3 linked regions of the Tribolium castaneum genome follow. The protein of the gene in region 1 purifies or fractionates together with the protein of each later gene. This does not show direct contact. Links are inferred from orthologs where the notes say so. Each region holds a gene or a part of one and is shown in the gene's direction. Other genes may lie near its edges.

Region 1 (3,594 bases):
TAACGAATGATAAAATCTTTGTCGTCGGCGCCCGTAATTTATATTTGTTATAATTGGGTTATTTCGCTGAATAATACCGAGGGTTCTTAAAATATAAACTAGACGCAATTTACCTGATGCCTGCAATAAACGAAGACAATGGCTAGGTAGATAACAAAGACTTCCAAAGTAGATCTGGCCTTTGTTAAAGCCTCTGCCGTAATTAATGAGTTTTCACCATCAACAATTAAATTCATTTGGGTATAAAGATTCATCATATTTTAAGTGCTCTAAGCCGTCACACAATGAACAATAATGTATGTTTTTGTAATCATTTGTTTTTAGTGGGACACTTGAAAATATAAATAATGCTTATTGTTCCAAGATTTAAAAATGGGCAACGTAATAAACCCAAATGCGTTTACAAACGTACTTTTGTGTGAAACTGCACTAATTCACGCATGAGCGACACAAATGTCGAAAGCTGTTATTATCTGAAAGACACACCGAATTATTTTGAGCTCGTGTTGCAAAATCAAACTTTTAATTTGCCCAACCGTTTTAAACGTGTAGTTATTGTGTCAGATATTCGTCTCAGTATTAATCAATAGTACAATAAATGCCGAAGTTATTATATTTGAGTCGTAAAAAATCCATTATTTCAGACAATGTTTTGCTGTAACTGTAAGGAACGCTAATGGTTATAAAAGTTCCAGTTTGGAAAGTTATTACGAAGGACGTCTGCAGATCCTTTTACAATTAGAGAATTAGATACACTAGTTGGAAATACTATCAGAAAGTTTTTCGTCGAAACGAAACTGCACTGTGGGTGGTCAAGGAGAGGTCTTTAAAGTTTACGAATGATTTGAAATTACATTATATTGTTATTACTGAGTACCTGTGTAATTAAAATAAATTAATGATTCTCCAGACTTTAAATACGTAAATGGACTGAAATTAGCTTCTAATTTTGTTGTTATCAAACAGAATTAGCATCTAATGAAACATAATGTCACAAAACAATTTATTTTTCTATTTATAAACTATGAATCACTGACCAACAAATTTCTACTTTTTTTTCTTTCAAACAATGTTATTTCTGTCAATTTGTAAATAGTTTTAATTTTTATTAAAATTTACGCTTTAGTACTTAAGAAAATTACCAAAGAAAACTTGTATTAAGAACATCAGTAGAAAGATAAAATATCACAGTATCCACAAGGGTAGATATTTTTTTTTAATTTATTTAACAATCTTTTTATCGTTTTGTATAATAAATATCTGTTAGTACTACAACCAAAAACAAAACTGGACATGGTTTAGGTTGCTTTATTTTTCTTAAAAACGATAATTTTGTGTTAGTTTTCACAACTCTGTTAAAAAACGACTCAGATCAACTGAGGAGAATTCTTAAGTTTTCCATAAGTTTCCTGGAAGAAAATTTTAATTTTTATGCAGAATTAGCTGCATAGCTAATAAACAATATTTTTGCTTTTTAAAATACTAATTACTTTATCAAATTATAAGTATAATTTATTAGTTTTTGAATGCTTGTAAAAAATAGAGAATTGAAATACGTCCTGCCATCTATGAACCAGCGGATGCACATATTGACTACAGTTTGGAGGCAAACCTATAGCTAGTAAAACAAGTGGGATAAAGAAATCTGTCAAGCCAGTCAAGTGATCCGAATCCAATGTCCCCAACCTTTAGATAACATCGAAAAACATTTTCTTATTTATTTGCGAAATAAATTGTAAGTTATTTTGCACTAATTGATCAACAGTTGTAACCATTGAGGCATTTTACTGTATCCCATAATTTTTATGTATTGTTCACCAAATTAGCTAGTCTCTTTACGTTTCCACGGGTGGCCTTCCTGCTGATTCTAGCTTTTTGTAGGTTAAATTCGCTGGAAAATTATTTCCCGGTTTAAAACAGTAATTTTCCTCAATGGCAAGTAGTTATGTAAATTAGAATGAGCAAATACTATTATTTAGACGTTTCCTTGTTAGTATATTTAATTTAGTTCACTTTCAACCACGTTTGTCCCATTTATCGCACTAATAATTGTCTTGTTCCAGGAGATTGCACGATAATACCGCCTATGAGGTAATAACAGACGCGTACTTTAAAAAACACATCGTTGATGCAGTGTCTGCGTTATTTGGAGAATCTGCAGCTTGTGTAGACATAGACGTCCTAAGATACAATCTAGCGATCAAACGCGGTATTTTAAGAGTACCCTCCGAATACTACGTGAAAATCCGCAGTAGTCTAACCCTGTGTGGTAGCTACAACAACATCAGTTGTTCCTACAAGATTCATAAGACCAGCCCCATTTTGCTGAATCTCCAGGGTGACAGTCGAGAATACGAGCACTGAAATGTCTTTCTGCCAAAGATTAGGGCCCCAGGGCAAGGATATAGTGATTTTTGCCACCCCAGAGGACCACAAGGTCCCAAGCACTGTGACTCTGCCAGAGCCTGACCCCCAGCCAGGGCTGATCCTCCCAAACGGGGACATCAACTGGAACTGCCCCTGTCTAGGGGGCATGGCAACGGGGCCCTGTGGGGTGGAGTTTAGGAACGCATTTAGTTGTTTTCACTATTCCGAGGCGGAACCTAAAGGTGGATTAGTCGGAAAAAAGTTTGCAAGTCGGCTGAATTTAATTATTTTTTAGGTAGCGATTGCTATGAATTATTTAAGACCATGCAAAATTGTATGCAAAAATATCCAACTTTGTACAACAAAGACTTAGCCGACGATGATGACTTTAGCTCGATGGATTCAGGCGACAAAAGCGCAGCGCCTAGTTCTGAAGGCGCTCCAAAGTCGGACAAAAAATCATAAGAACTTAAAGGCTAATCTAGTTTTTGTTATAGTTTAAGAAGACAATCTTTCCTAATTTGTCTAGTTTTTTCTAATTGTTACATGAATGTTACTACACAATTGTAACGTTTGAAAGTTTTTTTTTAATAAATTTGTTTTGCATTTGTTTTGTTTTGCGAATACCATGAACTGCAATTTAAGCTCTGGTCAGTGAAATTAAGTTGGCAACCCTCACCGTAGCGTTTGAATTTGATACTTTAAAGCCACAGTGTAAATTAAGTACAGAAAATATTACTTGGTTGATATAAAATGGTAAATAAACCATTGGTTATTAGACTTGATTGTTTCTGTCATTAAAAATACAGAATAACATAAAAATTTCAGGGAATTAAGTTAATTTAAAAATAGCATTGGAAAAGCAAAAAACATAATGAATAAATATTATGTTGTTATAACTGTTATATCTACGTAATCATTAGATTTTTTTCTACTTGATACCAAGTGGTGTGGAACTAATAAGTATGCGTTGAATAAAACTAAAATAATTAAAAATAAATAAAAGGTAGAGATCAGATCTACTTTAATGTCTTAAAAATATTAAAATTAGCACGAATAAAAAAAAGTAGTTGCTTTCAATCACTCAAGCTGTACAAGTGATTCTAGCATAGAATGTGCATTTTTTTAACTATATTTGTACTAATCATGTAGCAATTAATGCATTGAAGAGGTAAAGAAAGCTTAGTTAATTTTACTAATTTAGTTCGCTTTTGGATAAAATACTTC
Region 2 (2,224 bases), on another chromosome or scaffold:
CTCGGAAACTGTAAGACTTAGAGCAACGAACAAAAAACCATCTGATAGCGCTTAATTTTATCTATTTTTTCGACCAAACCCGGAGCCGCTCCGGGCAACGGTTCCGGCTACAGAGGCGATCAAAGTTTTTCACTAAAAAAATTCATAAAAAAAAAACTAAAAGTCGTAGAGAATTCCGGTTTGTTCCACTGAATTCTACGGCTCATTTTACATATTATATCGATTTTTCACAAGAATTAAAAATTTAAAATTTTTTGCCTAAATTTAGGGTAGCCATTTGTCATACTGAAAAATTTTATTCATTAAAAAAATTCATAACTCAAAAACTAAAAGTCGTAGAGCAATGCGGTTTGTTCCATTGAATTCAGCGGTTTATTTTCTGTATTATACCAACTTTTCACGAGATTTAAAATTTTAATTTTTTTGCCCAAATTTCCTGAGTAAAATACAGTACCTTCAAAAAGTTGAAAAAAAAAATTTTTTTAAACTAACTTCAGCAAATTTTTATGGACTTCTACATGTCTTAACAACCCACTAAAGTTGTTAAAAGTCCACAAAAAGTCCAAATGTTCGATTTTTTGATGTTTGATTTTTTCAATTTTCGTCGCAGTTTTTGTCGATTTTGGGTACCCGGAACATTTGTCGAGCAATAGCTCCGGAACTATTAGAGATAACCCCATGATGTGTATTATTGTTGGAAAGCTCTTTAAATTATCTATTTTTTTCAAAAAATATTATTGTTCTCCGACTAATAGTTTTCGAGCAAATTGCTGCTAAATGCAAAAATCAAATTTCAACTGACCAAGGGTTAGGGCAAACTAAAATAGATCTCTACTGTGATTTCTATTAGATTTGTTGTAAACCATCCCTTAAATAAATGGAAATCACGTGTAAACTAGACTTTTTGTGCTTCCATAACGCAACGAACGTACACGCAACGTAACCGCAAAAGTCCATGTGAGCATAACCACAATTTTAAAAATTCACGATTTTTGATATTTTTAACAACTCCTAGTTTGTTAAATAATGAGTTAAGGCATTGGTGGAAGTATGCGCTTAGGGACACATGCAAAAATAGGAATTGGATGGTAAGTTCCAAAAGTAGGCAACGACTGACCATAACCTCACTTTCGCACCGAAAAATCGTTTTATTGCAATAATTTGTCGGTTCGCAGGACCATATGTACAACGTTTGGTATTTACTTGTTCTACTTGTCCAAATCCAGTGTTGAGAAAAGGCGTTATGATAATATGAAAATAAGGGAACGCATGCGACTCTCGAACGTTGGTGATTACGAATTGGGTCCTCGTCACACTCCTCGAACTTAATTATCGTTAATAACGCGTCACATTTGCACGGAATTGAAATGGCAGAGAGTGACGCTCAAAAGTTGCAGTTGATGCAAGAATTGGAAATCGAAATGATGGCAGACATGTACAACCGTCTAACTACAGCATGCCACAAAAAGTGCATTCCTCCCGTTTACAACGACGCGGAAATTGCCAAAGGCGAAGCCGTTTGCATTGATAGATGTGTGGCCAAATTTCTAGACATCCATGAACGCATTGGCAAGAAACTTGGCCAACTTTCAATGCAAGACGAGCAACTTCTTAAGAAATAATTGGAGCGCCCCGTAGTTGGACTTAGTTATGTTTTGTTTTTGTTTGTAATTTAATTTTGTAATGTTGGTTTATTCTAGAGGTAATAAACTTGACTAGACAAAGTGTAGTTTTTATTTTTAATTAATCAATGCTTAAAACACTTTTCTTCGACTTGACTGCTTCAGTGGTTTGGAAGTGAGCCGCTGTTCGCTTCCTGATATCGTCCACACTGTCCTCACTTGAGGCCCACTCGAGAACTAGTCTCCGACCGTACAAGTGGGTACTTTGACACAAAGCCTCAAATGCATTCTAAAAAAATAATTATGCTAACAAGTTACAATTAATAATTAATTCACCTTGGCATCAGAGGCTGCCACAAAATCGACAAACGCAAAACCTCGATGTGAGCCCCCATCCAAGGCCATTTTCTTTGGGAGCCTTAACGCTTTAATTTCGCCAAAAACACTAAAACAATTAATTAAGTCATGTTAGTAGTACAATTAAATTTTAATAAAATGCCTAAAAAGTTCCCTAATTTCCTTCTGGTTAGCCTGGAATGGGATATTTCGAACCAAAATCTTGGTTCCTGTTTGTTTCGTTGCTTTGGTGCTTTTTTTAACAA
Region 3 (2,851 bases), on another chromosome or scaffold:
TGACGTCATTTCTGGGCGCGGCTTTGCTCGTCTACTCCCTTAACTACGCCTTCAAGTGTTACAAACAAATCCGCCAGAAGCAGCACGAAGAAGAAATATCAATTGTCGAAAGTATTATAGACATCCTTCAAACAAACGCTACGGAAAACGGCGACAATTGCATGATAATCAACCACGTCCGCGACATGATCCTCCCAATCAACGAGCGTAAAAGTGAGACTCCGCCCAAACCCCGCCCCCTCTCACTAATCAATTTTCCAGATAAGCAGAAGTTGTGGATGCGCGCCGTGCGCTACATCCACGAGAACGAATCGCGCATCAGAACCGAGGAGAAGGTGGTGCAAGGGGAGGTGGAGCAGGTGTGGCGATGGCTAGGCGGGGCTAATAATTTAAACACTTCCAAAAACAAAAGTTGGCAAGGCCAAGCGTTCGAAACGCAAGTTGGCTCTGTAAACAGTCTGCCATACTCGCCGACGCCATGTTTGAAAATACGAGGGATGGTCGAAGATGGCGATAGGAACACCCACGTGATCAAGAAAGCAGTTTTGAGTAAATGTGCACAACAGTGTCGGATTTTGCACTGCGTTGTTGACACGAATTCGAATTGTGTCTACTTGAAGTGTGCGGAGCCGAGTGACGCTGCGGTGGCGTACAGGAATCTGCACGGGTGGTGGTAAGCTGGACTAAACCAGTTTGAGCCCGGCTCTGATTGGCTGTTGCAGGTACGCGGGAAATTTAGTCACTGTTAAATATGTGCGGCTGGAGAGGTATATGCAGAGGTTTCCCGATTCGCCGGTCAGTGGGCCCCCGTTTTTACAATAATTTGGTTGTTTTTTCCATTATTTATTAACAAAACGAACGTTTTTACTTTTACGACTGATAGCGTGTTACTTGTTTCGTTGAAAAATAGGTTAAGCATTAACAAATTCTAGGAATAATGTTGATTTTAAGACAATTTAAGTTCATTCAGCTAGGAAATTTATAACTGTATTTTTCAATACGTATTAATAAATTGTATTTGTATACGACTTGTTTGACGCACCCCGTATAGCAAGTAGGCCTAATGTACTGGCAAATATTTGACTTTGATTATGTTGTAACCCGAAATGATGCAAAATAGTGACGTGGAAACGAAAGAAATCGTTCAAGAGTTTGGTTTCAAGTACAAAGTCGGATGTTACAGGGACAAAAAACCCGAAGGTAATTAAATAATTAAATCAATAACCTTGAATTTTGAGCCTAAACTGGGCTTGGAATGTGCCCTGTGTCACAATCAGGTCCCCCGCCTGTCGCAATTTACCTCAAACACTCTGTATATTATTTTATCAATAAATAAATGAGTAGTTTACAAAACGTGACAGAATAGTTCAAACGCGCGCATAGTAGTTTAAACGTCACTCTCATTTCACCAAAATTAATCGTCATTTTCCGAACAATGGCTTACAATTTCCAGTCGGAAAGTGAGGTGAAGGAGTTCATCAAAAATTTAGGCATAGAATACCGCTTCGGTTGTTACAGCGAGAAAAAGGCCGAAGGTAAAAACTGCCATAACCCCACTTTTCCGTTTCGTAACAATTCACGTAATGATTGGTTCCAGTGTGCCATTTACTGGCCGATTATCTGGAATCGATCGACAAAAACTACGAAAAGGCCGGGATTGTGTACAAGACGACGTGCGATGACTATAAATATGCGAAAAGTTGCTCCAAATACGCCACTTATGCCTTGCTTGGAAAAGGGGCGAAAAAGTCCGATTTTAAAGCCGCTTACGGTTATTTCGATAAAGGGTGCGAACTAGGCGACCCCACGTCGTGCTTCCATCAAGGCTTGCTCCTAATCACGCGAAACGAGGAGCAGGGGATTGCCCAAAACCCCATCAAAGTAATTATTTTTCCCCCCAAAAAAAAAAATAACTTAATTTAATTTCAAGGGGATGGCACTACTGGAAAAGTCCTGTAACGCGGAACACAGCAACGCGTGCTATTATTTATCGGGGATGTACATTGCCGGGGTCCGTAAATCCCCCAAAGACACTTCCAGTGATAAAATTGAATACGCCGTCGCCAAAGACATGAAACAAGCATTTAAGTTCGCGTTGAAAGGCTGCGAGTTGGGGAATATGTACAGTTGCGCCAACCTCAGCCAGATGTATGCCAAAGGAGACGGTTGGTAGTCTAGTACGTGGTAAAAATCCCTAAGTTTTGGTTACAGGAGTCGAGAAAAATCCCGAACTGGCGGCGAAATATCGCAAAATCGCGACGGACATGCAGGAGGATATTCAAGGGGGCAAGACTTTGTCGTTTCAGGAGGGGCTCACGTGAAATAATAGCGAAATAAATTTTTGTTAGTTATTTGGTGTTTTCATTTACCTCAAGTTGGCGCTAGTACCGCGGACCAGTTCAATATTGTTTATTCTTTATGTAATTACATCAATAAAGGAAATAAACGCCAAACAGTCCCGAAATGTTAAAAAAAATAATCGACTGATTTTTTTATGCAATTGTCGAAATAACATTCAAAACTCTAGATATGAAAAAAAATCGGAAAAAATTTAGTCCTGGGAAAGTTGAATTTTGAATGATTTTCAAAGGTTTTTAATTTTTTTCTATGTGATATCAACAATGTGACACTTTTCTGTTAGTGTAGGTGAAAAGGTCGTAAGACTCTACACTATAAAGAAGTTTGAAAAAAATCTAGCCCTGAGAAGGGGTTAGAAAATTGTTTTTTTTATGATTTTTTAAAAGGTTTTTTCATTTTTTTCTATATTTTTCAACAATGTGCAGGTCAAAAGAGCAATTAAGACTCTATTTACAATAGGAAAATATTTAAAAAAAATCTAGCCCTGGGAAGG

What was found. Proteins that work in one complex are often made in the same cells at the same time.
Region 2: the proteins of mitochondrial intermembrane space import and assembly protein 40 (region 1) and Tim10 purify together in Homo sapiens (co-immunoprecipitation; 4 studies listed by BioGRID and IntAct, with this or other methods). This does not show direct contact. The link is inferred for Tribolium castaneum from reciprocal best matches to the Homo sapiens genes CHCHD4 and TIMM10.
Region 3: the proteins of mitochondrial intermembrane space import and assembly protein 40 (region 1) and cytochrome c oxidase assembly factor 7 homolog purify together in Homo sapiens (co-immunoprecipitation; 3 studies listed by BioGRID and IntAct, with this or other methods). This does not show direct contact. The link is inferred for Tribolium castaneum from reciprocal best matches to the Homo sapiens genes CHCHD4 and COA7.

The regions. Positions count from the first base shown.
Region 1 is NC_087396.1:19,228,569-19,232,162, reverse strand, and holds mitochondrial intermembrane space import and assembly protein 40, read left to right. Parts: upstream 1-1,635; 5' UTR 1,636-1,735; intron 1,736-1,803; exon of another isoform or gene 1,804-1,935; intron 1,936-2,063; 5' UTR 2,064-2,365; coding exon 2,366-2,609; intron 2,610-2,662; coding exon 2,663-2,832; 3' UTR 2,833-2,975; downstream 2,976-3,594.
Region 2 is NC_087394.1:33,997,219-33,999,442, reverse strand, and holds Tim10 (mitochondrial import inner membrane translocase subunit Tim10), read left to right. Parts: upstream 1-1,227; 5' UTR 1,228-1,367; coding exon 1,368-1,622; 3' UTR 1,623-1,724; downstream 1,725-2,224. Other genes in the region: probable RNA-binding protein 19, read right to left, coding at 1,744-1,911, 1,959-2,067, 2,122-2,224.
Region 3 is NC_087401.1:15,101,548-15,104,398, forward strand, and holds cytochrome c oxidase assembly factor 7 homolog, read left to right. Parts: upstream 1-1,344; 5' UTR 1,345-1,435; coding exon 1,436-1,535; intron 1,536-1,597; coding exon 1,598-1,881; intron 1,882-1,930; coding exon 1,931-2,165; intron 2,166-2,211; coding exon 2,212-2,321; 3' UTR 2,322-2,351; downstream 2,352-2,851. Other genes in the region: inner nuclear membrane protein Man1, read left to right, coding at 1-213, 262-673, 723-822. UniProt on the Homo sapiens protein: Required for assembly of mitochondrial respiratory chain complex I and complex IV.